4 linked regions of the Elephas maximus indicus genome follow. The protein of the gene in region 4 binds, or shares a complex with, the protein of the main gene of each other region. Links are inferred from orthologs where the notes say so. Each region holds a gene or a part of one and is shown on either strand. Other genes may lie near its edges.

Evidence for each region.
Region 1: POLR1B (region 4) and TAF1A share a complex: the UniProt entries of both Homo sapiens proteins name them as parts of the pol I pre-initiation complex. The link is inferred for Elephas maximus indicus from reciprocal best matches to the Homo sapiens genes POLR1B and TAF1A.
Region 2: POLR1B (region 4) and TAF1B share a complex: the UniProt entries of both Homo sapiens proteins name them as parts of the pol I pre-initiation complex. The link is inferred for Elephas maximus indicus from reciprocal best matches to the Homo sapiens genes POLR1B and TAF1B.
Region 3: POLR1B (region 4) and UBTF share a complex: the UniProt entries of both Homo sapiens proteins name them as parts of the pol I pre-initiation complex. The link is inferred for Elephas maximus indicus from reciprocal best matches to the Homo sapiens genes POLR1B and UBTF.

Annotation. Positions count from the first base shown.
Region 1 is NC_064842.1:12,224,637-12,232,233, reverse strand, and holds the start of TAF1A (TATA box-binding protein-associated factor RNA polymerase I subunit A), read left to right. Parts: upstream 1-4,585; 5' UTR 4,586-4,649; intron 4,650-6,415; 5' UTR 6,416-6,456; coding exon 6,457-6,577; intron 6,578-7,597. UniProt on the Homo sapiens protein: Component of the transcription factor SL1/TIF-IB complex, which is involved in the assembly of the PIC (pre-initiation complex) during RNA polymerase I-dependent transcription.
Region 2 is NC_064830.1:19,313,508-19,321,413, forward strand, and holds the start of TAF1B (TATA box-binding protein-associated factor RNA polymerase I subunit B), read left to right. Parts: upstream 1-4,901; 5' UTR 4,902-4,951; coding exon 4,952-4,969; intron 4,970-6,722; coding exon 6,723-6,821; intron 6,822-7,906. UniProt on the Homo sapiens protein: Component of RNA polymerase I core factor complex that acts as a GTF2B/TFIIB-like factor and plays a key role in multiple steps during transcription initiation such as pre-initiation complex (PIC) assembly and postpolymerase recruitment events in polymerase I (Pol I) transcription.
Region 3 is NC_064837.1:50,744,097-50,751,829, reverse strand, and holds the start of UBTF (nucleolar transcription factor 1), read left to right. Parts: upstream 1-4,723; 5' UTR 4,724-5,132; intron 5,133-5,498; exon of another isoform or gene 5,499-5,588; intron 5,589-5,875; exon of another isoform or gene 5,876-5,965; intron 5,966-6,772; exon of another isoform or gene 6,773-6,858; intron 6,859-7,245; exon of another isoform or gene 7,246-7,331; intron 7,332-7,733. UniProt on the Homo sapiens protein: Recognizes the ribosomal RNA gene promoter and activates transcription mediated by RNA polymerase I (Pol I) through cooperative interactions with the transcription factor SL1/TIF-IB complex.
Region 4 is NC_064835.1:41,809,166-41,816,339, forward strand, and holds the start of POLR1B (DNA-directed RNA polymerase I subunit RPA2), read left to right. Parts: upstream 1-4,160; 5' UTR 4,161-4,229; coding exon 4,230-4,406; intron 4,407-7,174. UniProt on the Homo sapiens protein: Catalytic core component of RNA polymerase I (Pol I), a DNA-dependent RNA polymerase which synthesizes ribosomal RNA precursors using the four ribonucleoside triphosphates as substrates.

The sequences.
Region 1 (7,597 bases), on a different chromosome or scaffold from region 4:
ATAACTAAGAGCCCAAGAGACAGAAAGGGCCACATGAACCAGAGACCTACATCATCCTGAGACCAGAAGAACTAGTTGGTGACCGGCCACAATCGATGACTGCCGTGACAGGGAGCACAACAGAGAACCCCTGAGGGAGCAGGAGATCAGTGGGATGCAGGCCCCAAATTCTCACAAAAAGACCAGACTTAATGGTCTGACTGAGACTAGAGGTATCCCGGCGGTCATGGTCCCCAAACCTTCTGTTGGCACGGGACAGGAACCATTCCTGAAGACAACTCATCAGACATGAAAGGGACTGGACAGTGGGTAGGAGAGAGATGCTGATGAAGAGTGAGCTAATTATATCAGGTGGACACTTGAGACTGTGTTGGCATCTCCTGTCTGGAGAGGGGATTGGAGGATAGAAAGAGTTGGAAGGTGGCAAAATTGTCACGAAAGGAGAGACTGGAAGGGCTCACTCATTAGGGGGAGAGCAAGTGGGAGTACGGAGTAAGGTGTATATAAACTTATATGTGACAGTCTGGCTTGATTTGTAAATGTTCACTTGAAGCTCAATAAAAGTTAATAAAAATAGATAAATAAGAATTTACACAGGGTTCCATGGGAACAGCTCACCTCTGCTTCACGTGGTGTCAACTGACCCACTCATGCAATTGCAAGCATGAAGCGCCTGTTTTGGACTGTAATGTCTGGGATGGTCTCCCTGACCTGTCTGGAACCAAGGTGCTGACTGTTGGCTCCATGTGGCCTCTCTCTCCAGCAGGACAGCCTGAGCTTCTTTATATAGAGGCTTAAGCTACTAAAAAGGCAATAACTGAAGCTGGCAGTGCATCTTTGGGAATACAGTGTTTCCTCCAGTGTAAGCCTGGGGTGGGATCCTAGTCCATGTAGTTTAGGGAATTTACAGTTGGATATGTGCTGTTGTTATCCATAAGGTTTTTTTATGTTCTGTTATTATCCATAAGGTTTGAAATTGAAGTTGTGAGGATTGTATTCTACTTGGATCAATAATCAATACCCATAGAAGCAGTGACCAAGAAATCAAACAACTTATTGCAGTGAGTAAATCTGCTAAAAAGACCTCTTTAAAGTTTTAAAAAGCAAAGATGTCACTTGGTGACTAAGGTGTGCCTGATCCAAGCTATGGTCTTTTCAATCACCTCATATGCATGTGAAGGCTGGACAGTGAAAAAGGAAGACAGAAGAATTTATGTGTTTGATTTGTGGTGTTGGTGAAGAATACTAAATATACTGTGGGCTTCCAGAAGAACAAACGGATCAGTCTTAGAAGAAATACAACCAGAATGATCCTCAGAAGCGAAGATGGTGAGATTTCATCTTGTTTACTTCGGACACATCATCAGGAAAGGCCAATCACTAGAAAAAGCTATCACATTTAATAAAGCAGAAGGTTAGCTAAAATGAGGGAAACCCTCGATGGATGGATTGACCCAATAGCCACAACAATGGACTCCAACATATCAATGATCATGTAGATGGCACAGAGCCAGGCAACATTTCATTTTGTTATACTTAAGGTGGCCATGAGTTGGAGCTGAATTGAGGGCAATAAACAACAGTTGGATAATATTTTTCTCTATGTTATTATGTGATCTGTTTTTGTTTTTATGTTATTGCTTTTGCCACATTGATTTTTTAAAGTCGTATTCATGCTATTAACTGTTGTATAGTATAGTTAATTTATGAAGATGTCTCTCCAATCGTTTAGTTGTCTGAAGCTCATTCTTCAGTAGACTGCACAGGAAAGGCTCATGGGACTACTCTTCTCTACATGTCAGTGTGCAGGCTTTTTTGTTTTTTAATGTAATTCATCATCATATTCAGTGGCTCTTTAGCACAAAGCAGTTGTGAGAACACCTTTCAGTTCTTTGGGATGTTTTCTAGATAGGAGTCTGTCTGCTTTTTGCAGGCTTCATTTTATTTTGTTTGCATTTTTGACATGTCATTCCTTTTTTATCTTGTTTATAATATTAGCTTAGACATAATATGGTCCATAAATTTTTACCAGAGTGATACCATGAGAAAGACAAGAGGAAGGTAGGGCACATAATGATAGTCATTCTTTACTTTCCCTCTTTTATGTACTGTGGCCGAGAGGTGTTGAAGAACTTTAAGGAAAACCAGATATTCTTTCTCCATTTTTGTGACAGTATGAATTTCTAGCCATGTATACAGGCATACCTTGGAGATATTGCGCATTGGGTTCCAGACCACCGCAATACAGCAAATATTGCAATAAAGTAAGTCGCACAAAATTTTTGGTTTCCCAGTGCATGTAAAAGTTATGTTCACACTATACTGTAGTCTATTAAGTGTGCAACAGCATTACATCTAAAAAAACAATATACATACCTTAATTAAAAAATACTTTATTGCTAAAAAATGCTAATCGTCATCTGAGCCTTCAGTGAGCCGTGAAGGGTCTTTTGCTGGTGAAGGGTCTTGCCTTGATGTTGACAGCTGCTGACTGCTCCGGGTGGCTGTGACAACTTCTTCAAATAAGACAGTCGTGAAATGTGCTGCATTGACTGATTCTTCCTTTCACAAAAGATTTCTCTGTAGCACATAATGCTGTCTGATAACATTTTACGCACGGTAGAACTTCTTTCAAAATCGGAGTCAATCCTCTCAAACCCTGCCACTGCTTTATCAACTAAGTTTATGTAATATTGTAAATCCTTTGTTGTGATTAACAATGTTCGTGGCATCTTCACCAGGAGTAGATCCCATCTCAAGAAAACTCTTTCTCGGCTAATCGTAAGAAGCAACTCTTCATCCATTAAAGTTTTATCATGAGATTACAGCCATTCAGTCCATCTTCAGGTGCTACTTCTAATTCTAGTTCTCTTGCTATTTCCACCATATCTGCAGTTACTTCCTCCACTAAAGTCTTGAACCCCTCGAAGTCATCCATGAGGGCTGGAATCAACTTCTTCCAAACTCCTGTTAATATTGATATTTTATGTTATATGTCACGGCAAAGGAATAAATACAGACTGACCAAGGCTATAGACTAGAGGCTAATGGCTATGTTCTTTTGTGTGTGTGCCCTCCTGGACCACACTGTGATTTAGGTCATCCCTGCCCTGGGAAGCTTGGGCACAGGCTTATGTGGGGCCAAGCACTTATGACACAAGGGGCAGCAGGAGGAACTTTTCTTGCAAGTCCGTAACTATTGCAGTGTTTACTAAGACAACACAGAACCAAGTATTCATAGCATTTCAAGGAGTCCATGTATAAGGTGTTACTGTTGTTGTTCTTAGCTGCCGGCAAGTCAGTTCCAGCTCATAACGACCCTGTGTACAAGAGAACAAAACACTGCCCAGTCCCGCCCCATCCTCACAATCTTTACTATGCTTCAGCCCACTGTTGCAGCCTGCTGTGTCAATCCATCTCATTGATGGTCTTCCTCTTTTTTACTCACCCTCCACTTTGCCAAGCATGATGTCCTTCTCCAGGGACTGGTCCCTCCTGGTAACATGCTCAAGTTATGGGAGGCAGTCTCGCCATCCTTGCTTCTAAGAAACATTCTGGCAGTCCTTCCAAGACAGGTTTGTTCATTCTTCTGGCAGTCCATGGTATATTCAGTATTCTTTGCCAACACCATAATTCAAAGGCATCACTTCTCCCTTGGTCTTCCTAGATCCTTTAATTTCCTCTATAATATCTTGATTCTGCCCAAATGGTTCACTCTTTTGGGAGGAGAAACCCCAAGGTTCCTGGGGGGAGCCTATGTCATTATTTGTGCAGGCTTAGGTGTGAACAAAATTCTTTCTTGGAATGACTTTAAAGCTGCCCTCCTTTAGCTTTCACCTGTTAGTGCTAGTTCTGTACTCTGATGCTATGAAAAGGTAGTTGAAGCCTTCTTTCACAGATCAGCTGTCCAAACACTGGAGACATACAGTGTATTCCCACGTGTCTCTGCTTTTCCCAGATCGTCATCTCTACAACCCCTCAACTGTCTATTATTTTACATAGTTTAACCGTCTTACTTCCAACCCGATCCCTATTTCATATAGGTTTGTCAGTGTCCTTCATGAAAGGTGGCCCTAAACACGTACGCAGAACAGCCCCCGTTGAGAAGAAAAACGAGATTCTAGCTCAAATTATGGTGAAGTAGTCAGAGACACTTAAACTTTAATAAAAAAGAAAAGAGCTCTTAAGAAAGTAAAGAATATGCAACAATCTATCTTGTAATGCCAGCAGCCAGCCTCCGGTAGCGCAGTGCACCTAAGCCCAGCAGAAACCGAACGGTCATCGCAGAGTAAAGAACTCGAGTAAAGTGACATTCTGCATTTTTGACTGTTCCTCCCAACCAGTTGCTCTCCTGTTGCCTAATCCCCATTTGCAATTAAATTTTCCCACTCTCCGGCTGCAGGTAACAACAACATACATCCGGAGACAAGCCACCAGGGGCGCGTCGGTTTCAGTCACTTCCGGGGTCGAATAGCGGCGATGACGTCACAGCCGAAGTGGTTGTTAGAGGTGGGGGGGGTTGCGTCACGAGGCGCCAGAGCGCCGGCGGCCGATTTTGCGCATGCTCACAAGAAGCGGTGGCCGGCGTCACTTCCGGTTCCGGTTCTCCAACGCTGTTCCGCGAAAGAGGAGGCGAGAGCAGCAGACAGGTAAATGTCCCGCACGATGTCCCTCGTTCATCGCTTGTGCTAGGGTTCATCCGTGCTCTTCTAATATTTTCTCCAGATACCCTGGAACCTTCAATTCTAAGAACAAGTGAGAGGAGGTGGAAAAGCTTTAGTTACCGTGATAACTGCGGGACAACATTTTGGGTCTGCGAATTTGAGAAGGGAGCTCTTCTGTAACGACCCCTTTAAAATACAGCTGGTGGTCGGACTCAAATTTAGATCTTATATAAAACCCTTGTTCCTAACTGCAGAATTAGGTTTTGCAAAGTTTAGTGTGGCTGTATTGTGAAGAGGCAAAATTTGGCTGTATTGTGAAGAGGCAAAATTTGAGGCAGCGTTTTTACCGTTACCCGTTGCCGTCGAGTCGATTCCGACTCATAGCGACCCCACAGGACAGAATAGAACTGCCCCGTAGAGTTTCTAAGGAGCACCTGGTGGATTCGAACTGCCAGCCTTTTGGTTAGCAGCTGTAGCACTTAACCACTACACCACCAGGGTTTCCTGGTTGTGTCAAGAGTACCTAATAATTGATTGGATATGGAGAATTAAGCATCTTCAGGATCAAGTCCAAACCCAGCCTGTCATGTGACTATCTTTCTAGGTTCCTTTCTCACCATCAGTTCCAACTGCCTTCCGCTGCCCTCCTCCACACCCCCACACCCCCAACTCCAGCCCTGTCAAGCTGTTTGATGTTACTTCTATTTCCTGAAATGTCGCCCTCATCCTTCTTGTGACATTGGGCAGCGTAGTTACCTTCACTAATTATTTTCCTCCATTTTAATGTTGAAGAAACTGAGTGGCTACTTTTAGGAAGTAGGAAGAACGTCAAACTGCTTGTCAGGGCTAGAGTTTGGGGGCTTGTGTGAAGGAGGGATGCGAAAGGTAGAACTGACCGTGAGAGAGGAACCTGGAAAGATAATCATATGCCAGGCTGACTTTGGACTTGATCCTGAAGATGCTCAGGGTAGAAAAAAAAAACACCCCACTGGTGTTGAGTGGATTCGAACTCATAGCAACCCTATAGGACAGGGTAGAACGGCCCCATAGTTACCAAGGAGTGCCTGGTGGATTTGAACTGCCAGCCTCCTGGTTAGCAGCCGTAGTACTTAAGCGCTAAGCCACCAGGGTACCTCTCCCTAATTCCCCATGTGCAGTCAGTTATTAGGTACTGTTGATGCTACCTCCAAATATTTCTCCGATATTCTCTCTTTAGGATTGCTGTTATTTAATTTAGGATTAGATTAGATAATTTATATGCCTGGCATATAGTAGGAGCCCTGGTGGCACAGTGGTTAATAGCTGCAGCTGCTACTCAAAAGGTTGGCAGTTTGAATCCAGCAGTTGCTCCTTGGAAACCCTATGGGGGACAGTTCTGCTTTGTCCCATAGGGCTGCTATGAGTTAGAATCAACTGAGTGGCAATGGGTTTGGCATATAGTAAGGATTTAAAAAATTTAGGCAAGTGCTACTACTGTTACTATCATGCTTGTTATATTGTTTTATTATGTACTTTTCTGTTTCTCTAGACTAGGTTTTTTTTTTTTAAACAGTATCATTTATATTTGTATATTCTTGGCACATAGTAGTTACTGAGTTTTTTTATCAAAAGGACCATATGTTTTGGCTGTTACTGATATAATTAAATTCATTTTTTACTTTAAAGGAACTATGAAGTACAGTGAATTCTGCTGAGTAAATGATATTTATTAGATGGCTTTTTTTTTTTTTTTTTTTGGTATAACTCAAAAGCCTATGGATTAAGGTGCACGTATTCCCAGTTTGGAATAGGTATGAGTGACTTCAGTGGCGAATTGACGAGGCCTATGGCCGAGGCTGATCAGGTGGAAAAATCAATGCTCTCTGGTACAGGAATGTCTATTCCTTGGCTCCGAAAGCAAATGGAAACTGTGGGTAAGTAAAATAACATCTAACCATTTTAACCTGATGCAAGGAGATGGTAAGGTTCAATGTGGATACAAAATGAAGAATCAGGCTGGGAAGAGCTTCCGTTTTCAAGATGGGAATATGTGAGATTTTTTTCTAGCCATGAGAAAAGAAAATAAACTGTAAAAAAAACATAGATTTTTTCTCTTGTAGAGTTCTTTTCCTTTGAATTAACAGTAAATAGTCTGTATTGTGGCAGTGTCGTAAGTTCGAGGGATATTAGGACTAATCAAGGAAGAAGATGTGACCGTGAGATTGAAGTTTGGCACAACAAAGTTTTCATTGGGTAGCCGTATGCAGGAGACCTTCTGTTGTGGCTTGAACCGTGTCCCTCAAAAATGTGTGTCAACTTGGTTAGGCCATGATTCCCAGTATTGTGTGGTTGTCCTCCATTTTGTGGTTGTAATTTTATGTTAAAGAGGATTAGGGTGGGATGTAACACCATTGCTCAGGTCACATCCCTGATCCAACGTAAAGGGAGTTTCCCTGGAGTGTGGCCTGCACCACATTTTATCTTACAAGAGATAAAAGGAAAGGGAAGCAAGCAGAGAGTTGGGGACCTCATACCACCAAGAAAGAAGCACCTAGAGCAGAGCACATACTTTGGACCTGAGGTTCCCGCAGGGAGAAGCTCTTAGTCCAGGGGAAGATTGAAGACAAGGACCTTCCTCCAGAGCCAACAGAGAGAGAAAGGCTTCCCCTGGAGCTGACACCCTGAATTAGGACTTCTAGCCTACTAGACTGTGAGAAAATAAATTTCTCTTTGTTAAAGCTGTCCACTTGTGGTATTTCTGTTAGAGCAGCACTAGACAACCAGGACACCTTCCACAGGCAGCAGACATAGAGAGCCATCAGAGGGGAAAAAACCAAGTCCTTTGCCACCGAGTTGATGCTGACTCCTAACGACCCTATAAGACAGAGTAGAACCCTGGTGGCACAGTGGTTAAATGCTTAGCTGCTAAACCAAAAGGTCAGCATTTTGAATCC
Region 2 (7,906 bases), on a different chromosome or scaffold from region 4:
GTCAGTTTTCCTGTTAGGGAATGGTGAGGAAAAAAATGTGCTACTCATTTCTCTGCAACTATATGTCCAAAGTCTCAAATCCAGATAGGTTGTCTATACACAAATGTGAATATAGGCATATATGAATATATGGGTACATATTTGTGCACAGATAGATGTGTCTATAATCATACGTACATACAGGTATGTGTGTGCATGCATGTATACTTATATATATGATAAACCACATAGGGACCACAGTTTCGGATACTTCCTAAAAAAAAAATTTTTTTTTTTTTTTACTTCCTAGACATAACCAAATACCATGTGAGATTGGTTTTCTGGGTTTGAAGGCTTAGGACCAGAGTTTCATGGGACAATTCATTAATTGGCATAATATACTTCATAAAGTGTATGCTCTACATCCCAATGTGGTGAGTAGTGTCTGGGGTCCTATAAGCTTGTGAGTGGCCATCTAAGATACAATTTTTGGTCTCTACTTGTTTAGAACAAAAGAGAAAAAAGGAAACCAAAGACTCAGAGAACAAAGCAGTCTACACAAACCATGGCCTCATCTTTCATGAGACCAGAAGAATTAGATGGTGCCCGGCTACCAGTAATGATCATTCTGATCAGGGCCACAATAGATGGACCCTGATAGAACTGGAGAAAATTGTGGAACAGAACTCAAATTCTTAAAAAGTCTAGATTCACTGGACCAGTTGACACTAGAGGACTTCCTGAGACGATCACCCTGAGATAGTCTTTAATCCTTAAACCAAAGTTAACCCTATAGGTCACCTTTTAGCTAAATAACAGATTGACTTCTAAAATAAAGGACATCACCTGTGAGTAATGAACTCCTTTAAAAAAAAAACTAAATGGTGAAAAATTACACTAAAGCAAAGATGAGAAGTTAAGGGGGCAGGGAAACTAGACTACTCAAAATGGTATAACCAGAATGAGAACGATGATACATTGTAAAAAAATGTAACCAATATCCCTGAATAATGTGTATAGAAATGGGAACCTAACTTGCTGTGTAAACTTTCACCTTGAACACAATAAAATATTATTTAAAAATACAGATAGGCTATTTAAATACTTTACATGTACATAAAATTCTTACAAAGTCATTCATTCATTCAACAAAGGTTTATTAAAAATCATGTGAGCTAAGCAATGTTATAGACCCTGGGCATACAACGATAAATAAAAAGACAGAAGTCCCTGATCTCAAGGAGCTTATAGTCTAGACCAATACATTAATTTCTGTTCAGTTTAATATTTATCACTCTCCCTATTCCACAAACAGCCAGTCCAATATTTCAACATTTTAAATCAGGGCTGGCCTTGAAAATAGGAGGCTTACAACTGAAAATTTTTACATGGCAAAACTTAATGCTTGGCAGGTGGATAACATTTTTTGGAAGGAGTTTGAAGCTGTACAGAATCAAGCCTTGGTGAATGACATGGGTGATGCAACTGCAAAGGAGAATTTATCTAGTTTCACTTTAAAATAGGAGACCTGGGGCATAGTGGTTAAGAGCTCAGCTGCTAACCAAAAGGTTGGCAGTTCAAATCCACCAGCCACTCCTTGGAAACCCTGATGGGGCAGTTCTACCCTGTCCTGTAGGGTCGCTAAGAGTTGGAATGGACTCCACAGCAATGGGTGGTCTTTTTTTATATTAAAATAAGGAGTCAGTCCCACTGGACTAGGTGTTTCTTGAGGGCAGTGAATTTGTCTTGTTTACCTTTCATTCCCTAAGAGCTGGAAGAGTGTTTGGCATATGCTGGGTGTTTAATGAATCTTTGTGAAATAAATGAATTGACAAGTGAATGTGAAGTGAGAGAAGAGCCACTCCGTTGACTTATAACTTTAAATATCATCTGGTCAGAGATAAGGTCCTTGAGTGCTGAAAACGGTTTGTGTTTGACTACCAGTGGAAGGGCTGGCAGTTTGAACGTGCCCAATAGGGCTGCTGAGGAAAGGCCTGGCAATCTGCTTCTGTAAAGATTCCAGAAACCAAAACCCATTGCCATTGAGCTGATTCCGATTCATAGCAACCCTCTATGACAGAGCAGAACTACCCTATAGGGTTTCCAAGGCTTTGAATTTTTATGGAAATAGACTGCCACATCTTTCTCCCACAGAGTGGCTGGTGGGTTCAAACCACTGACCTTTCAGTTAGCAGCTAAGCACTTAACCAACCACTGTGCCACCAAGGCCCCTTTCTGTAAAGACTACAGCCCAAAAAAAAAAAAAAAAAAAAACCCATGGAGCTCAGTTCTACTTTGTAACACACGGAGTCCCCATGAGTCAGAATTGACTCGATGGCAACAGATTTGCTTTTTTTGGTTTAGTCAGAAATAACTCCCAAATGTATATCTCCAACCCAAAACTTAAGGAGTTCCTGGGTGGTGCAAATAGTTAAGTACTCAACTACTAGCTGAAAGTTTGGTGGTTCGAACCTACCCAGAGGCACCTCAGAAGACAGGCCTGGTGATCTCCTTCTGAAGGGTCACAGCCTTAAAAACACCGTGGAGCAGTTCCACTTTGGACACATGGGGTCACCATGAGTTGGAACTGACTTGACAACAACTAGCAACAATCCAAAACTTTCCTCCGAATCCTAAACTCCTATGTCCAATTGCCTTCTCACTCTACCTGGATGTCTTATAAGCATCTCTAACTTAAAACTGCCAAAATCAAATTCCTTATTCCTCCCCTATCCTACTCCCAAACTATTGCAACCACAATCCATCCCAACTCAGTTGATGATGGCTCCACCCTTCTAGCTGGTAAAGTCAAAAATCTTAAAGTCATCCTTGCCTCTTTTCTTTCTCTCACAGCCCACTTCCAGGCCATCAGAATATCCTGTTGGTTTTACTTTCAAAGTACTATCTGTCCATAATCTGTCTACTTCTCACTGTCTCCACTGCTTCCATCTTGTTCATGCTACTATTATATCTTACCTGGACTGTTGCAATAGTCAGCTAACTTCTCTCTCCACCCCTTCCTTTGCCCTGCCCTCCTCCCCAGCACTCTATTTTTCCCACAACAGCCAGAGTGATTAAACATAAGTCAGATCATGTGACTCCTCCAATGACTTCCCTAAGTTTTCCATATAAAAGTTGAAGACCTTACGAAGGCATTGTTTTCGACACTCCCTTTAGCTCACCAATCCAGCCATTCACTGACCTTCTTCATGATCCTTAAACGACATGACACAAGGCTCAGGACTCAGGGCCTTGGTACTCACTGCTACCTCTGCCTTGGAACACTGTTCTCAACATGGCTCTTCCTCCCTTGTCTCAAATATTACCTTTTCGGTGAGATCTTTCTTGACTACCCCATTTAAAATTGAAACTACCTATCTGTCAGTTTTAGTACTATGGTAGCTCCTGTGTTGCTGTGATAATGGAAGCTATCCCACTAGTCTTTCAAATACCAGCAGGGTCACTCATAGTGGGCAGGTTCAGCAGAGCTTGCAGACTAAGACAGACTTGGAAGAAAGGCCTGCTGATCTACTTCTGAAAAACCGGCCAATGAATACAGTATGGATCACAACAGAACATTGTTTGACTCACTTGTGTGGACATGTCACCGGGAGGGATCAATCGCTGGAGGGGGATATCACGTTTGGTGAAGTAGAGGGTCAGGGATGACGCAGGACCAGCAGCTTTTCCTTCTGTTGTACGTTAAGTTGTCAGAGTCGACTCCCTGCAGTTATCTATCTTAGCACTCCCATTCTCCTTTCCTGCTTTATCGTTCTTCTTGGCACTCACCACCTTTTAACATATCATATATTTTTTTCTTATTTATTTTTTTCTCTCCCCACAAGAATATAATCTATGAAGGCAGGGACTTTTGTTTTTTTCCTTCACTGCTAAATCCCCAGGTCCTAAAACAGTGCCTGTTGAATGAAAGAACTGAATGAATAAATCAAGGAATAAATGTGTTCAATGTATGAACAATAATCGCTGAACGTATTGAGCTCTTACTATGGCTCAGTTATAAGGGATTCACAGGCAACATCTAATTTTTGCAGAGGAGGAAACTGAGAAACAAGCAGAAAAGATGTGATTAGAAACGCAGGTCTGACTCAGCAACCTGTGTTCTTTCTTTTCTTCCAAATCCCGATGCCTGTGAATAAGAAAGACAAGAAGAATTGACGCAGTTCAGTTACGGTTTTGGCGAGTAATATTGAATATACCATGAACTGCCCGAAGAATGAACAAATCCGTCTTGGAAGAAGTATAGCCAGACTGTTCGTTAGAAGCAAGGATGGTGAGACTTGTCTCGGGTACTTTGAACATGTTACCAAGCGGGATCAGTCCCTGGAGATAGACATCATGCTTGGTCAAGTAGAGGGTCAGCGAAAAACAGGAAGACCCTCGGTGAGGTGGATTGACACAGTGGCTGCAACAATGAGCTTTAGAAGCATAATAGCAATTGTGAGTATGGCGCAGGACCCAAGAGTGTTTCGTTCTGTTGTACACAGGGTGGCTATGACTTGGAACCAACTCGACGGCACCTAACGCTGTACACACTCCTGTGCCAGTAAGAGGTGGAGAAAGCCAGTCGTGGAACTCAAACGGTTCGAGTCCATGTTCTGGAACGTGGCACCCCACTGCCTCCCTTGGCAGCCTGAATAAATCAGTGGGTCTTGGAGTGAAAGGCCGTCAAAACAAAGCATGACTGAATTAGTTCAGCAGTAGGCACCGCTCAGTTTCTTACTGGTTCATACCAAGCCTAGGTCAAGGGGTGCTCTCAAATGGGGGCTTTGGGTTCCTTCCTTCCGGAGCGAACAGGGGTTTCACCTGGGCCGAAGGCGCCGGAATCCAATGTCAGGGGGTTCTGTTTCCGGCCGGAGGGCTCCTCTCGTGGCTCCCGGAAGCTGCGCTCGCTGCCGGGGTAACGGGCCTTTGCGGCGGGGGCGGCGGCCGTAGGGGCAGGAGCGGAGCAGTTATGGACCTAGACGAGGCGGTAAGGAGGCCGTTGTAGCCAATAGGCTACGGAAAGCTGGGGGAGGAGGGGAGTGAGGCTGAGGAGAAGGGGTTGGAGGACGCTGACTAGCTGTGAGGGAAGCCGTTGGAAGAAGGAGGGCGGATTGGAAGGATGCAGAACGGGGAAACGGGATGGGGTTGACCGGCAGTCCCGGGGAGCGTTCGTGCGCGTTTTTGGAAAAAGGCTGGAGTGTCTGGCTTGGTGAGGTTGTGGGTGAAGGGAGGGCGGTGTGCTTGTCGATGTGGGTGTATTACGGAGGAGGGCGAAGTTGTGGGTTTTGCGAGGTGGCCACCCACTGGCTCCTCTTCGCCCGACGGGACCACCCCCAAGCTCCCTCTGATGCTGGGATGGGTGAGGGCGGGGCAGCGGATGGAACCAGAATGCACCCAGGTAACCCCGGCCGGTCCCTCTGGGACTCCTGCCACAGCCTGGTGCCGTGACTCCAAATTCTAGTTTTGGAACACCCCAAGGTCATGACAGTTGAAAACGTTATCAAGTTGTTAAAATAAATTTTGCGTTCATTTTTGACCTGCTACATAAAATGCAGCAACTTTTTAAGGGTATTACGGGAGGATGAGGGAATTAAACCAAACCAAACCCGTTGCCGTCGAGTCGATTCCGACTCATAGCAACTGTATAGGACAGAGTAGAACTGCCCCATGGAGTTGCCAAGGGACAGCTGGTGGATTTGAACTGCTGACCTTTTGGTCAGCAGCCGAGATCTTAACCACTGAGCCACCAGGGCTACATTTAGATAAAGGATATTAAGTCAAACACCAAAGACATTGGGAATAAGTAATTTAGTGTCAGAGAATTAGGCCTAAGGGAAACCCTGGTGGCTTAGTGGTTAAGTGCTACGGCTGCTAACCAAACGGTTGGCAGTTCAAATCCGCCAGGCGCTTCTTGGAAACTCTATGGAGCAGTTCTACTTTGTCCTATGGGGTCGCTATGAGTCGGAATCGACATGATGGCACTGGGTTTGGTTTTTTGGTTTGGATGTACCCAAGCAGTACGGTGATGTTGTTAGGTGCCGTTGAGTCGCTTCCGACTCATGGTGATCCCTGTGCACAACAGAAGGAAACACTGGCTGGTCCTGCACCATCCTCACAATTGTTACGCCTTCATCGCAGTAGATGTGCAATAACTGTTCTGTAAATGCTAGATTAAGAAAATTAATTATTATAACTCATCAATGGCCTGTTATACTCTAAGTAGGGATCACATCTGTTTTGCTCACCGACTCCCCAGCACCTAGTAAAATACTGGCACATACGTAGCTGGTACTCATTATGTTGCTGAATAATACATCAGAACTTGAAGTACCCTAATAAACACCTAGCTCCTTTGTGGTGGGTATGTGTTTGTAGTGTCCTGGAGGAAGTTCCCAATGATATGCTACTTCTGTTTTTGAAGTCTTCTCTATACTTAATTTTTGTCTTCTTTTTTCTTACAGCATTTTCGGGAAGTTGTATTTACTTTTCTCTTTGTTTCCAATTTTACTCCTACCACCTTTTCTTCTTTTTTCCCTCACGGCCAAGTTTAGAAAATTTTCCCTAATAGTTTAAAGTGGTTCCATACTGATCAAGAGACTGAACCGTTATTGTACTTATTTGCAAATAATCTATATTCTGTGATAATGACAGGGAATACTCTAAGCAGAAATACAAGGTTTAGGTACAATGTATTGAATGTGGTTTGAGAGTAACACCTCTTTTATCCTCCTCTCCTCTAGAAAGAGTTCAAAGAACGCTGTACTCAGTGTGCTGCCGTCTCTTGGGGTCTTACTGATGAAGGCAAATATTATTGTACTTCTTGCCACAATGTTACAGAAGTAAGTAATAGATATAATTTTTGAATTTATGTTTTAAAAATACATTTTCAACCTAATAGTAGCATAATCCCCAAAGAATTGATGTATTTTTCTCACTCATGCAATGTCACAGTTCCAAGAATGTAAAGTCTTCAAGTGCTTACAAATAGGTTAAGGAATTTGTAAATTAGACTTAAGATGAGTTTTTGAAATTATGGTGAGCCACATTTAAAATTGATTTCCTGATTTAAACTGTGGTTTAAGGGGAAATAATTAAAATTGGACTTAGAAGACGATGCATTTCTTTATATTAGTTAATACTTATTTAAGAGTTTTTAACGTGCCAAGATAGTGTAGAGGTTTGGGGCAGGGGATGCATTAGAAAAATTGAAAACCGTTGAGAGTATTGGAAATTATGCTTCGTTATCATTTTACCTTTGTACAGTACTTCACAGATTACAAAATGTTTTCTTATCCATTATATCATTTCCACCTTGTAATAACCTGTGAGATACACTGTTATGCCTATCCATAGATGGGGCAAGTAGGCCTCACAGGGGTTGAGTGCGTTTGCCAAAATCACACAAGTATAATGTGTCTGAGCCAGGACTTGAATCTGAGTCGTTTGACTCCAGTGTTCTTTTAACCCCAGCATACCTGCCTCTTAATATAGAAATTGTCACACTGGTCTGTGTAACCTTGGTAAAATGAGGCTACTTTTACGCTGGAAGTGCTAGGTCCTTTTCTGATTACCACACGTTAAGGGCAATAGAACCAAAATAATCATGTGTGGACAACCTGCTGTTGGACAGACTAAACATGCCAGCACTCTTCAGACTGCACAGAGCCATGATGGAACACGTGTAACAAATATTGCCATCGCTAAGTGGGCTTATGAAAGGCAAATTTGGAATAAGACTTCTGCTTCTGGCCAAAATGGAGTAACAGGGACCAGATTTACCTGCTGTCTTACTTTCCTGGTGCGGCTGTAACACAGATACCACAAGTGGGTGGCCTTAAAGAATAGAATTTTATTTTCTCACAGTTCTGGAGGCTAACAGTCCAAGTCAGGGTCCCCAGCCATGCTGATCCCATCTTTGTCAGTA
Region 3 (7,733 bases), on a different chromosome or scaffold from region 4:
AAGATCAGGAATCCCAAGATCGGAAAATAAGCTGATAGCTCAAGTCCCAAGAACCAGAGGTCAGACGAACTGGAGGCAGCTGCAGATCCACAGCCAGCAAAAAGCCAGAATATCTGCTTATATTCTGATGCAGGCCACACCCCCAAGGAAACACCCCTTCCACTGATCCCCTACTCACAACAGATTCCATCATGGGAGTGATCACATATAAACACTGAGAATCAAGGCTCACAATCTTAACCATCACATACTTCTGTGAAACTAATGAGGCAGGATTAGGGGCAGTTTATGTTAATGAGGCAGAACTCAGTCTACAAGATTAGGTCATCTCTTAAGTCAGTCTCTTTTGAGATATAAAAGAGAAGCAGAGAGACAGGGGACCTCATACCAGCAAGAAACAAGAGCCAGGAGAAGATCACATCCTTTGGACTCAGGGTCCCTGCATTGAGATTTTCGACCAGGGAAGATTGATGACAACGACCTTCCCTCAGAGCCGACAGAGAAAGCCTTTCCCTGGAGCTGGCACCCTAAATTCCGACTTCTAGCCTCCTAGACTGTAAGAGAATAAATTTATCTTTGTTAAAGCCATCTGCTTGGGGTCTTTCTGTTATAGCAGCACTAGATAACAAAGACATAGCCCTTTACTTGACGATGGGAATATTCTATATCTATATTGTCCATAGGTTCACCACTAGCCACATATGGCTATGGAGCACCTGAAGTGTGGCCAGTGTGACTGAGGAACTGAATATTCAATTCTATTTCATTTCAATTAATTTAAACTTAAATAGCCACATGTGGCTAGTGGCTACCCTATTAGACAGTGCAGCTATAGGGTTTTCTGAACTTAAGTCATTCACACATCACCTTAATTATCTTTGCCAGATCTTTGAGCCACTAATACTATTCTTTCCTTACTATTGTTCTTTTCACTGACTCAGCTTTAAAACTCAAATAAACATATTTAAAAAGATGATTTTATATGTGAAAAGGTGCTCAACATCATTAGTTACCAGAGAAATTAAAACCAAAATGAGGTACCACTACATGCCCACTAGAGTGACTACAATAAAAAGGACTGACAATATTAGGTGTTGGTGAAGATGTGGAGCACCAGGCATTCTCATACACTGGTGGTGGAGGGTAAATTGTTACAACCATTTAGGAAAAAAGATGCAGGAATTCCACTTCTGGAAATATATCCAAGAGGAATGAATGCATATAGTCCTCAAAAGATATCCACAGGAATGTTCAAGGTAGCTTTATAGCCATACAATTGGAAGCAACCCAAATTCCATTAGAAATAGAATGGATAGATTGTGGTGCATTCATGCAATGGAATACTATATAGCAAGGAAAAGGAACGAACTATGGCTACATGCAATATCGTAAATCGATCTCAGACATCATGTTGGGTGAAAGAGGCCAGAGGTAAAGGAGTATAACCAAACCCAGTGCCTTCGAGTTGATTCCGACTCATAGCGACCCTATAGGACAGAATAGAAGTGCCCCATAGAGTTTCCAAGGAGCGCCTGGCGGATTCAAACTGCCATCCCTTTGGTTAGCAGCCATAGCACTTAACCACTACGCCACCAGGGTTTCCATAAAGAGTATACACTGTATAATTCCACGTGCATGAAATTAAAAAATGGGTAAAACTTAGCTATATGATAGAGCTCAGAATATTGGTGACATCTGGAGGGGGATATTGACTTTGAGTAAGCTTGCAGGTGCTATAAGTGTTCAATATCTTGACCTGGGTGGCAGTTACACGGTAGATACATATGTAACATGGATACTATAGATACCACCACCAGTTGCCCTCAAGTCAATTCTGACTCATAGCATCTCCACGTGTGTCAGAGTTGAACTGTATTCCACAGGGTTTTCAATGGCTGTTTTTTTAGAAATAGATTGCAAGGCTTTTCTCCTGAGGTGCCTCTGGGTGGACTCGAACCACCAACTTTTTGGTTAGTAGCCAAGCTCACTAACCGTTTGCACTACTCAGGGACTCCATACTATGCATACCAAAAACAAAAAAACATGGCCTTTAAGTTGATTCCGACTCATTACTGTCTGTAAACTATACCTTCCTAAAAAAGAAAAAAATAAATAAAAAGAATAATAAAGGAACAATGGTTCCAAAACAGGTGAGGGGGGAAGACTTTACAACTATCTTAAATAAAAATAAAACACATTTCAATACACGTTAGTACATGCAACCCCGAAAATACGTTAATCTATGTGCCACTGAAATTATTCACGCACACCAGGAACTCAAACACCAGACTTTGTGAACACACTACGAGGTTTTTATGTGGGCTAGTGCTGGGATGCTGGCAACCAGGGAAGAGCTGGGGCCAAGTGGCAAAGGTGTAGCTAAGGCTTATGCCTCCTCACCAGCCTGGGCTGGGTCATGGAATGCTGAGGATCTGCTTCAAGGCTTATGCCAGAAACTAGAGGGGGTTGGAGGGTTGGGAAAGAGGACAAAGAAAAAGGGCCAAGGGCAAATTCTCTCAGCTCTGGCCCATAGCCCAAGTCCTAGACTTGGCCCATAGCCCAAGTCCTAAACTCCTGACCTCATCAGAGATGCAATGGATGTAAAACAAGCCAATGGGTTTCCAAGTAGGAAGAGTGCCAGCCATGATTTTTGCTACCCAAGGAACGAAAAATCAATAATAATCATTCTTATGATTCATGTCTATCCTGTTTTGTTCCAAAGCACTTTACCGAAAGGTCCCTTGGCCCAGCCAAGAAGTTCAGGACCAGGACCCAGGACACCTGGACTCCAAATCCGTGTGTGAAATAGTTGGAATTTTTGGGGGGTCTAAGTTTTTCCCAATGTCTTTGTGGCAAGTGACATCTGTAGTCTATTTTACAGTTTTACAAAATTTTAGCAGAGTAAATAGGATGGCTAGTCTAATTTTGCAGATGTGGAAATTGGAATTCTTAAGAGGGTGGTGAAGCTGGGACTTTTGAGTTCAAACTAACTCTTTGCTCTTTCTCAGTCTAAACAGAAGTTAGTCCGTGCTTCACTCTTTAGCACAGGAGAGGTGTCTTGATCAGACACAAAATGAATGCCCTGCCTGTGTTCCGGGGCAGATCTGGGTCTGTGGAGCCTGAAGCTTAGACAATTTGAGGTAGGCGCTCTTTCAGGAAAATACCAAATGTTAAACACAAAATTAAGTACAGGGCTTTTGGCCCGGCTCTGCCAGGGAGAGGCCTTGAAGCTTAAGCTTCATTAGCATGGTGTGGCAATGGTGAAGCATTTGGTTGTTAACCAAAAGTTTGCCAGTTCTAACCCACCTTGCTGTTCCACGGGAGAAAAGCCTTCACGGTGGGCTCCCTAAAGAGTACAGCCAAGAAAACTCTATGGAGCAGTTCTACTGCGTCATATGGGGTCGCTATGAGTTGAAATTGACTCCATGGCGCCTAACAACAAGAACAAAGTGCCTTCCCTGCATGCCCTGCCCACTAAAAGCTCTGGACACACCAGATCTTGACAAGGATTTTCCTCCCTATTTGTGAAACGTGGCAGATGTGGATGTGGAAACCCTGGGAAGAGGATCTCGTTTCTCCCAGGAGACAAGAGGAATTACAGCAGCATCGAGGCCCTGTGTGAGGCTGGAGTAGGCTGTGTGCCAGGGGAGAATCCAAAGGGGCTGGTGACCCAACTGGCGAGTCGATGTGGCAGTAGCAGCTTTGGAGAGGGCCACTGGCAACTGGGAGCCAGGAGCGATGGCGCTGCCCGTGCAGCGAAAGCACAACCCCTAGGCTGGCCTGTGGGAAGCAGGCGTTCTTCAGACTGTTTTCTGGCTCCCTGCGTCCAGATAACCCTTCCTCGGAGCAGGGAAGGCCGAGACCGACAACGACAGCCGGCGGCAGTGGGGGATGGATGGTGGTCGGCGCCCAGGCCCTTCCATCCCCCGCCCGCAGGAGGGTGGAGTGCGGGCGGCCTGCGAGGGACCTTCCCCGCTGCGGCTCCGGCGGCGAGGCCGGGGCGCCGGGATCCCCTCGCGGTTCCCAGCCGCCGGGGTTGGGGGGGGCAGCGCCCGCGGCCTGCTTTCCCAGGGCTGGCCAAGCCTTTTTGACAAGCTGATTGCGTGACGGGGATTGGCTGGTCCCGGAGTGACGCCGGTAACAACAAAGGTGGAGTTGGAAGAAATTAGATTAAAGGAGAGAAAAAAAATTAAAGGGGGAGCTGGCAGGGGACGGGAGGAAAAGACCGAGGGGAGAAGCGCGAAGCGCGGTCTTCCTGCTCCGACTTCCCCCCGGAAGCCCTTCGGCGCCAGCCGGCCAGGATTTTGCTCTCTACCTCTACCCCGGCCCAGCGATCGAAGCCGGGGTAGGAGTGGTGGCTGCTACTGCTCGAAAAATTCCCCCACTCCCATCCTGACACCCCTCGATACGACCCAGGGGGAGAACTTTTTGCTCGGACTCCTCGAATCCTAGCTCGGCGGAGGTGGAGGACGTTGAAAACGAGAGGCTCGCTTTAAAACCCGGAAGGCCCTCGCGGGTTTTAAAGCAATCGGACGACACGGGGTGTTTCCCCGGTTTTTCGATGTGTTGCAAATCTAAGAAAAGCGTCTTTTCTTTTTTTTGTAACAACCCCTCTTCGCTTCCCTCCCCCCCACCCCTCGCTTTGGCTTCAGGGTTGCAAAAGCAAAGAGCAATAAAAAAAAAAAAAAAAAAAAACCGCGCACACACTCAGACACACACCAGTGGCGACAGGGGAGAGTTGGGAAGACGCAGGAGAGAAGCAGGAGGCAGCCGGGGAGGGAGCAATGGGAGCGGGAAGCAGGCAAGTTCCCTCGCAAATCCCCCTCCGGCCCTACGCCGGCCGCCTCGCCGGCTCCGGCAGGGGAGCGAGGAGCCGGGCGAGCAGATGGAGAAGTGGAGCTCGCTCTAGGCAGCGGGCTTGGCCGGAGAATGGAGGAGCCGCCAAGCGACCGGCTGATTGGAAGAGAAACGCAGCGCGATGGAGGCGGGGGTAGGAGGACGATTTCTCTGCGGGGACTGGCGGCGGCGTACACGCCCGGGTCGGGCGCTGCAGAGCTTGGCTAGCTTTCAAACCGCGCTCGCCGGCTCCAGCCCCACGCGCCCCCACCCCAGTCCTCCCGGCGGCTCCGCAGGTGAGTGCGAGCTGGGGGCAGAAAGACCCGGAACAGTCTCCGCACGCCCGCCCTGGAAAAAAAAAAAAAAAAAGCAAAAAAAAAAAAAGCATTTTTCTTTTTCTATTTTCGTGCAGCCCCCAGCGCGGTGGGAGGGAAGGGGTGAGGCTGAGCCGCCCGAGGAGGCGGAGGGGCCAGGCGAGGCCGGGGTGGCCCGGGAGGCGGCGGCGCCGAGGCGGCTCTGACGGGCAAGCGCTCCGAGCGGCGCTGCGCTGCGCCGAGGCGGGCGGGCGGGCGGAGCGGGGCGGGCGGAGCGCGGCGCGTGGGGCTCGCCATTAGCCGTCGCTCCGCTTCGCCATCGCGGGCTTTGTCTGGCGACTCGCTGCCCCAGCGTCGGCTGCAGCGGAGCTGCGGCTCCGCTCCTCGGCCCGCCGCGCCCCCAGGTGCCCCCGGTCGGCGCTCGCACCCACACGCCCGGTGAGTGAGCCCTGGCGCCGCGGGATTTCGGGGGAGAAGGGTTGCCGCGAGCGGCTGCCAATCTCCATGCGCCGGAGCAGGCCTGGGGAAGCCATGCCGGGCTGGATTGAACCGGCTCCCAGAGCGGTTCCTCCGCCGGAGCCCGTCGCCCCCTCGCCGTTTCCGGGGTGTAAGAACCAAAAGGGGATTTTTTTGCGGGGAGGGTGTTTTGTGGGCTTTTTTTAAGTTTCGTGTGTGTCGTTCGGCAGCGTGGGGACCGCGAGGTAGGCGAGTGCCGGAGCCAGGCGCCGCGATCGCCGTGCGTGCGTCCCAAGCCGGCGGCCACGCTCCGGGGATAAGGGTGGGCGCTGATCGCCCGCTCCGGGAGACGGAAGCGGGTGAGAGCTGGCTTGGGAGCCCGGGTTGGCGCTGGGAGGATTGGCGGGAGCGCTCCGGAGCGGGGCCACGGGCACCCCGAGCCTCCCTGGCCGCCGGGGGGCCCTCCGGGCACTCTCACCGCGGCGCGCCTCGCGCCCTCCCTTCCGCGCCTGCTGAGCCTGCTAGTTTCCCCGCGAGTCTGGCGAGGTCGCTCTCGGCGCCCGCCCGCCCGCCCGCCTCGGCTCCGAGCCCCGCCGCCATCCGGGCGGCTGCGTGTCTCCCTGCCCGGCCCCCCCTCCCCGGCGGCAGCAGTAGCCGCCGCCGCCGCCACCCCCCTCCCCTCCTTCCTTCCCTCCGCCTCGGCCGCCCGGGTCCCCCCAGCTCCCGCCCCTCCTCCCAGCTGCCCCCCGCGGAGCCCGCCCGGGCAGGCTGTGGGAGGGAGCGGAGCCGGCGAGGCGGGCGGGCTGGCGCTCGCTCCCCGGGGGTCGGTGTGCGCTCTACGGGGAAGGACGCGCTCGCTGCCCCGCTTCGCCCGCCCCCTCCCGCTCCTCCTCCTCCCTTCTCCCTCCTCCTCCCCGCTCCGGCGGCGGAGGCTGCGGCGGCGGCGGGGGGTGTGCGAGCTGAGGCCGGGGCCGGCGGGCGGGCGGCGGGCGGGCGGCGGGCGGGCTGCCTGCAGGCGGAGGGCGCTGTGCTTTGTGCTTTTCGCCGCGAGGAGCAGCAGGCAGCAGCCACAGCCGCCGCCGCCACAGCAGCAGCAGCCGCCGCCCCAGCGCCGCCGCCGCGCCCGGAGGAGGAGCCGCTGCCGCCGCGGGAGGGAGCTGCGGCTGTGCCCGGCCGAGCGGGGGAGGCGCCGCTGCTCAGAGCCGGGGAGGGAGCCGCGGGAGCGGGAAGCCTGGAGGCCGCGCTGCGCCGGGTAACCGAAGCGGGCCGAGGACGCGCGCCAGGGTCGGGGCCGGGGAGCGAGCCGCGGGCGCGGGGGACGTCCGGCGGGGACCCGGGGCGACCTCCGGACAGAGGACTGGGCGAGAGCAGACCAGGGCACTGGGGAGGACGCCGAGAGCAGAAGGAGGGGAGGACAGGAAGCGAGGCCCGAGCCGAGCCCGGGCCGCGGGCGGAGAAGCCCGCGCTTCTCCGGGCCGGCAGGCGCAGTTCTCGCCGGCCGCCGGAGGGGGCGGCTGGGCCGGTGAGCGCTGCGCCCCCGCCTCCCGGCCGCCGTCCTCCCGCCCTCTCCTTGGCTCGGCTCCCCGGAGGCCGGGGCGGGGGCGCCGGCGGGGCTGGGCCGCAGGCTCGGGGGAGGAGGCGGCGGTTCCCGCCGCGGTCGCGCCTCTGCGCTGGGCTCCTCCGTGCGCGTCGGGTGGCTGGGCGGTGGCAGCGCTTCTGGCCGGGGTGGGTGGCTCGGGGGCGGGGGGCAGGCTAGGCCGCTTCTCTCCGGCTGCTCGCCTGCCCGGGCGGGCGAGGACAGCGGCGGGACCCCAGGAGGGGGGGCGGCGGAATCCGGATCCGGTCCCCGGGGGCGTTGCGGCCGCTGCGCTCCGGGGCTGGCGGCGGCTGCGCTGCGTCCGGGTCCCCGCCGGGTTGCGGAGGCGGGGGGAACCGGCCGGGGGGGAGGCGGGAGGAGGAGACTGGGGCGCGTGCCCGCTCCCGCGGCCGCGCGCGCCCTTTACCCGCCCTTCCTCCTCCCCCGCCCTTCAGCCTGGGGCCTCCCCGGGGCGGGCAGACAGAGGAGGAGGAGTTTTTTTTTTTTTTTTTTTGGCCGGGGTGGGGGAAGGAGGGTGGAGGGCGGGCGCT
Region 4 (7,174 bases):
TACCAGCAACTAGTGGGTAGAAGCCAGAGATGGTGCTAAACACGCTACAGTGCCCAGAACAGCCCCACAACTAAGACTTATTGGGTCCAAAAAATATCAATAGTGCTGATGCTGAGAAACCCTTGGACTAAAGTGTTAGCAAGGAAGGTGTTAGCAAGATCAGCTAATGTTTCAAAACTAGAAAGAGAGAGAGAGGTGCTGCTTCAGACATTAGACATCTGGGAAGTTTGAGATTCTATCTGATATCTAGGAAAGGCGCTGGGTAGAGAGCTAAATACTATATACTTACCTGGAGCCCCAGTGGCACAGTGGATAAGAGCTTGGCTGCAAACCAAAAGGTCAGCAGTTTGAATCCACCAGTCGCTTCTTGGAAACCCTTTGGGGCAGCTCTACTGTGGAGTTGGAATTGACTCGAAAGCAATGGGTTTGGTTTTTTTGGTTTTATCTGGAGTTCAAGGCAGAGGGTGGGACTCCAACGGCATAGGAGGGGCTGATAACCTCATTAGGGAGTGAAGGAAGCAAGAGAAGAGAAAAAGGCTAGGGCTGAGCCTAGAGACACTGCAGTATTCAAAGGTCAGGAAGGCAGTGGAGACTAGAAGGCAGTAGGAGAAAAACCAGGATAGAGTGCTGTTTTGTAAGAAAGTGAAGAAAGCGTTCAAGAAGGAAGGAATGGTTAACTGAATTAAATGCTGCTGAAAGGTCAAGATGGAGGTCACTTGTAAAGAGCAGTCCAAGTGGAACGGTGAGGTGGGGTGGATTGAAGGGTGTGGGGGAGGTGACAAAGGATGGGTGAGGAGACAATGAGGGTGGTTGACCCTTTAAAGATTTTTGTTGTGTTCTTTTTTTGTTGAGTTCTTTTTTGCTTTTTTTAAAGGTAAGGACCCTGGGTGGTACAAGTGGTATGAGTCCGACTACTAACCAAAATGTTGGTGGTTCAAACTCACCCAGTGGCACCTCGAAAGAAAGGCCTGGTGATCTTCCATAAAGATTACAGCCAAGAAAACCCTATGGAACTTAGTTCTACTCTTTAACACTTGGGATTGCCATGAGTCGGAATGGACTCAACAGCCGCAGGTTTACATATGCTATGGGAATGATTGCTCCTGCCATAATCCCCTGGTTCACCTGCCCTCTGGGAGTCCCTAAGTAGGAGAGTGGGGATGAAGGAGGGGCAGGAGGACACTTTTGGGAGTGGTGGATAAGTTCATTATCTTAATTGTGGTGATGGCTTCATGAGCATATATGTATGTCAGAACTTATCAACTTGTTAGGTGTCATCGAGTAGCTTCCAATTCATGGCGACTGTGGAAAGCAGGCTTAAGAGACATGTTGGGACATGTCTGGACAAGTGTGGCTGTCATCTTCAGTTCAGTCTATAATGAGGGGAGCAGGCCCAAGAGATAAAAAGACATTGTGAGCTTGACTAAGGAAGATAGTCATATCAGGATAACCAGAGAGACTGACAGACTTCATCAAGAAGAAACCCACATAATGGCATCAGACTTTATCATCATCAACCAGATGAGTTCAAAGAGCTCCAACGTGTACAAAAGAAGCAACAGAAGGAGACGACAGTGCTTGGAGCCTTCCCAGAGCCACTCAGTCATACGCTGAGAATTTAGGAAGCAGTGGGCTGCGTCACCTCGCCCGGGCTTACTCCTAAATTCAAGAGATGTTGCTCTCGGTCATACATTGAGAACTAGGCAGCAGTGGGCTGCGGCAGCTCACCTGTGCTTGCTCCTAGCTCAAGAGACGTTGAACGGAACGGTCACCAAGCAGTGGGTAGCGGCAGCTGGTTCGGGCTTACTTGCAGACCTTCCTGCTACAAGGTTCATGAGCCCACAGGGAGCTACGCATGATCCAGAGACCACCGCTAACCATTAAGACTGGAGATCATCACCAACCATTGAACGGCATCATTGAACTGCACCATCTAATTGCTGTCCTCGCTTGCCGTAAGTTTGACCTGTGTCTTTCATTTCTCCCCTCCTTTGGTTATCGGAAACCCTGGCGGTATAGTGGTTAAGGCTACAGCTGCTAACCAAAGGGTCGGCAGTTCGAATCTGCCAGGCACTCCTTGGAAACTATATGGGGCAGTTCTACCCTGTCCTATAGGGTTGCTATGAGTTGGAATCGACTCAATAGCACTGGGTCTGGTTTTTTGGTTTTTGGTGATCTGAGATCTCTGGCGTCTGGGATAGCCAAGAACCTACTAATGTGTGTTTGTGCTTAATGAATTGAAGAAATTAATGTAAGACCTAAAAAAAACTGTTTAATAAAGACATTGTGGAAAGACACAAATAGTGTGGAGTAGTCTATAAGACTCTTCCTCACCACAGCGACCCTATCTACAACAGAACAAAACGCTGCCCAGTGCTGCCTGGTCCTGCACCATCATCACAATCATTGTTATACTTGAGCCCGCTGTTGCAGCCACTGTGTCAATCATCTCACTGAGGGTCTTCCTCTTTTTCACTGACCCGCTACTTTACCAAGCATGTCCTCCGGGGACTGATCCCTCCTGATAACATGTCTGATATACGTGAGATGTAGTCTCACCATCCTTGCTTCTAAGGAGCAACTACCCTGTTGTCGAGTCAATTCCGACTCATACTGACCCTACAGGACAGAATAGAACTGCCCCACAGAGTTCCCAAGGAGCGCCTGGTGGATTCAAACTGCCGACCTTCTGGTTGGCAGTCAGTGCTCTTAACCACTACACCACCAGGGTTTCCAAAGAGCAACTAGTACACTTTAAATATGTGCAGTTTATTGCATGGCATTATACTTCAAAAACATTTTTTTTAAGGCACCCACAAAACGATGAAGTTGAAAGACATCTGCTAGCATTCCCTGATAGATCCATATTCTGGTGAGATAAATGATTCATACAGATTCAAAAGATCTTAAGGCTGGAAGTCCCCTTGGTGGCCCCCTCCCCACTTTTTCCCTGTAAGGGTTCCCTGCCCACTCCACCCTACCCCACCCTACCCCACCCCACCCCAGCACTCTGGTCCAGGTGATGGTGATACAGATAGGATTAACTGTGCTCGTGGAACAAAAGAGCTGCTAAAAGATTACCAGCTAGAAGTTGGGTAAACAGGAACCACACCCTGTCAACATGAGAAAAGGCTGAAACGACCCAGGAATTACTATCTCCTTCTTAGTGTTTTTTCTAGTCCCTTCCCCCTTTACAGCCTTCCACATGCACAGAACAAAGTGTGACGGCTGTTTAACCTTCCTTATCCCTCCAAAGATGGTGATGTAGTGCCAAAGATCAGTGTGCTTGCCCTATATCCCATAGTAAGTGATGCCAAGGGCTGCCGAGAGGAATCCATCTTGAATATCAGCAGGTACCATTTGGTTTCCAGATGTGCACAGGCAACCTAAGCGCAATCTAATTAACATGCACAGTCATTCTGGGAAGTACCCAACCCTTGAAAGAAGCCCACTAAATATTCATTACTCTATTGTCTCCACCAAACCCATACAAGACCTTGATTGCCTTTTCGAGTCAGTCTGTTAGAGAGGCTTAGATCCTCACTGACTCCCTTTGCTTGACTCAAGCAAAATAAAGCTTGCTGAAAATAAAGTTTGTCTTTCACCTGTATTCTTACTCGGGAAAAGACAAGGACCCTTTGTGTCAGATTGGCAATTGGTAACAGCGGGAGAGGATTGCATGGGCCACCACTGCTCACCGGCCCCCACTGATGGGCCTTCACGACCTAATTTGGGCAGGGAGAGCAGTCAGCCTGCGGAACCACTAATACCTGCCTTTTGGATGAAGCCAAGACACCAACTGGGTGTCGCCCCTGGGTCATAATAATCAGCATCGGTTCAAAAAGCAGACAGGGGAATAGAAGGGAATATTTGAAGACTGCTCTTCTAAGTCCCAATTTGACTGAGGGAGCGAATGAGAGCCAGAGGGTTCCCAGGCCTAATTGGGCGTGGAGCAATTGTCCACCTCCTTGTCTTTAGCAGGGAAGACATGGGTGGGGCAGCGGAAGAGAGGAGAAGAGAAGGGGCGGTCAGGCCACGCTCTAGCTCTGTGAGTTTTAAACCGGCCCCTTCACTCTGCGGTTTTAGTTCCAAGTCGACCCAGCAGAGGTAGAGCCGAGAGCGGACGGAGCACGGAAGAACTACATTTCCCAGCAGGCCGCGGGAGCCGGCCATTCTTCCTGGCGCCCGCAGAGCGGCCCCTGGAGCTCGGCGTGCAGGCGGACGGACACATGGAGCCCGGCGGCCGGTGGCAGAACCTGCCTAGCGGGCCTAGCCTAAAGCACCTGACCGACCCCGCTTACGCGATCCCACGGGAACAGCAAAAGCCAGCGTTGCAGGAGCTGACGCGGGCCCATGTTGAGTCCTTCAACTACGCGGTGCGAGAAGGACTCAGCCATGCAGTGCAGGTGAGCGCGGCGTCCCCCTCGCCGCTTGCCGTTACGAGGTGAAGCTGGAGGTGGGCTGAGAGAAGGGCCGGCGGGCTGGGAGGGAGCGAGGCGCTGCGGCTGGAAGGCGGCGGGCCTGGAGCGCGGGGTGCGGTGGGGTGCGGCGGGTGCGGGTGGGTGCGGGTGGGGCGTGGCGGATGCGGATGGGTGCGTGAGGCGTCCAGCCTGCTGCCGGGGGTCGAGGGCGGCGGGCCGGGCCGGGCCGGGCCGGGCCGGGCCAGCGGTTCCGGAGAAATGGCCGCGAGGTCACCATGTAATCACAAATATGAGCCCCTTGATCGGTTCCCCAGGGAACGCCAGAGAGCAAAACAATGTAAAACGGACGCAGTCCTTTGCCTCGTAAGACCTGGAGCCGAGTCGAGTAGGGAAAAGTGCATTTGTGATTGCTGGGTTTATATGGGATTGCAGACTGTGGTGTTTTGAAAGATTGTGGGTGTTGTGAGAGTGAGGAAGTGACCCGTCTGGGCTTCCCAGCCGTTCTCAACGCTAACTTCTTGGTGTTCCGCGAAGACTTACTTCCAAAGGTTCCGAAACTAGTCGTAGACAGACTGTGAAGTCAGTATACGGTCGTTCTTCAGGTTTTCTCTCAGAGCTTTAAAGAGAAACTACGAGGCACCTGCTCGGATTTGGCAGGTGTTGAGAAAGATGTAAATGAGCCATAAAGGCAAGATTTCTTCTGACCTGTCCAAGAAAATGGGACGTACTTTTGAGTAGAAAGTGTAGTAATAGCTCTCTTAGGTAGCATAGGTGTAACCAGAGTTCAGGTGAGGATGTTGCGGGAAGGTCTCACTGAATTACCATCCCAGTGTCTCCAGGTCCTAGGCCACATAAGAAGAAGGTGGACATGAAAGCCCTCGGGGCCAATACTCTTAACTGCCCTGGCAAGGGGTAGTGTAAGGAACTGTGGCCAGCATAGAAGGTACAGCAAATCTAGGCGTTTGAGGTTAAAGGAAGAGGAGAATGCTTCCCTCCAGGGACGTGAAGGAGCAGAGCCAGCTACTCGGGGAACACTGAACAGGTTGGACTTGTGTTGTCAGGAAAAGGATGGAGAGAATGTGGAGGTCTCTGATTGCCAGTTTCTGATACTTGAACTCTGTTCTGCAAATAATGTGGGAGCCATTAAGGTTTCTTTGAAGATTAAGGCTCCTTAGCCTTTTTGAGGAAGACAATGGGAAATATTTCTGTCGTGCCTGAACTCTTACTGTATCTTGTCTGTGAGAAAATTTTATATATATATATATAGTTAACAATTAGCAGTCTGTGGGTGGCACACATGGTTAAGCGCTCAACTACTAGCCTTAAGGTTGGTGATTTGAAACCACTCAGAGCCACCTGGGAAGACAGTCCTGGCAATCTGCTTCTGAAAGGATCAAACAAACAAAACCAAACCCATTGCTAACAAGTCGATTCCAAACCCCCGTGGAGCAGTTCTATTCTGCACATGTAGGGTCGCCTGGAGTCAAAATCAACGGTTGTATCCAGCCTCTTAGAAGTGCATTCCTGACTTCTGTGAGTCAGAGAGCTGGTAATCTGTTGCGCTGTCTATTCAGCATCTCTAGAGATCGCTAGTGCAGCTGTGGCTTGAGAAAGTGAATCTTTTCTCCCTTCTTTAACAGTCCACCCTTAAGTATGAAATCTATTACAAAATTTATTTTAGAATAAAGTATTCTAAAATAACACCAGCCTTCGATAAAACTTAAAAATTTTGGAAAGTTTTCAAAATTTTTAAATAGACAACAAAAGTGTACTACTTGTATTTCCAAGTCGGCACAAGATCATTCATAATTTCAAAACAACAATTTATTGGATGATAATGAAGTTGCAGAGATTATTGTGAGTACAGCCCAAGGTAACTAGTAAGAGCATGGTAACTTGAGTTAATCTCTGGAAATGCATGTGTTTATGCCTTAAACTCTTTACCTTAGAAAATTTTAGAAATGAGAATACACAAACACACATGCTACTAGCTGCCAGAACGCTGACATCATTACACTTCACGTAGCCTCTGGAAAACTCCACTGTGCTTACATGAGAGAATGCGTGTGAAAAAGACAAATAATGTCCTAGGATTACTATGCAAATAGCTTGGACCTCATGGGCACCCTGAAAGGGTCAGAATACATTTTGAAATCTACTGGTATAAAGAATTAAAAAAAAAAACTCATAGCAACCCTGTAGGACAGAGTAGAACTGCCCCATGGGGTTTTCAAGGAGCAGTTGATGGCAGTGGGTTAATGGGTATCTTAATTATTCTTGTATATCCATGTCTAGAGTAGCATCTCCTACTTGGTGACTGGTAAATTGAACTCACTCGAGGGTGGAGGACCCCCTTTGTATTCTTGGCTCAGTTTTCAGCATTTTCATTATTCTGACATTAAGGCCAGGAAGTTGTTCATACTTAATAGAAAAAACTAAAAGTAAAAGTCATAAACTGAGTCTTAACCTGAACTTGTCTCTGCCAAGTGGATAGAATAAATGGATTGTTGTGTGCTGTCAGGTCGATTCTGACTCATAGCCTCCCTATATGACAGGGTAGAACTGCCCCGTTGGGTTTTCTAGGCTGTAATCTTTACGGAAACAGATTGCCAGGCCTTTTCTCCCCCAGAGAAGCTGGTGATTCAAACTGCCAACCTTTCAGTTACCAGCCGAGCGCTTAACCATTACACCACCAGGGCTTCTTATAAATGGATTAAACCCACTGCCGCTGAGTCGATTCTGACTCATCGGGA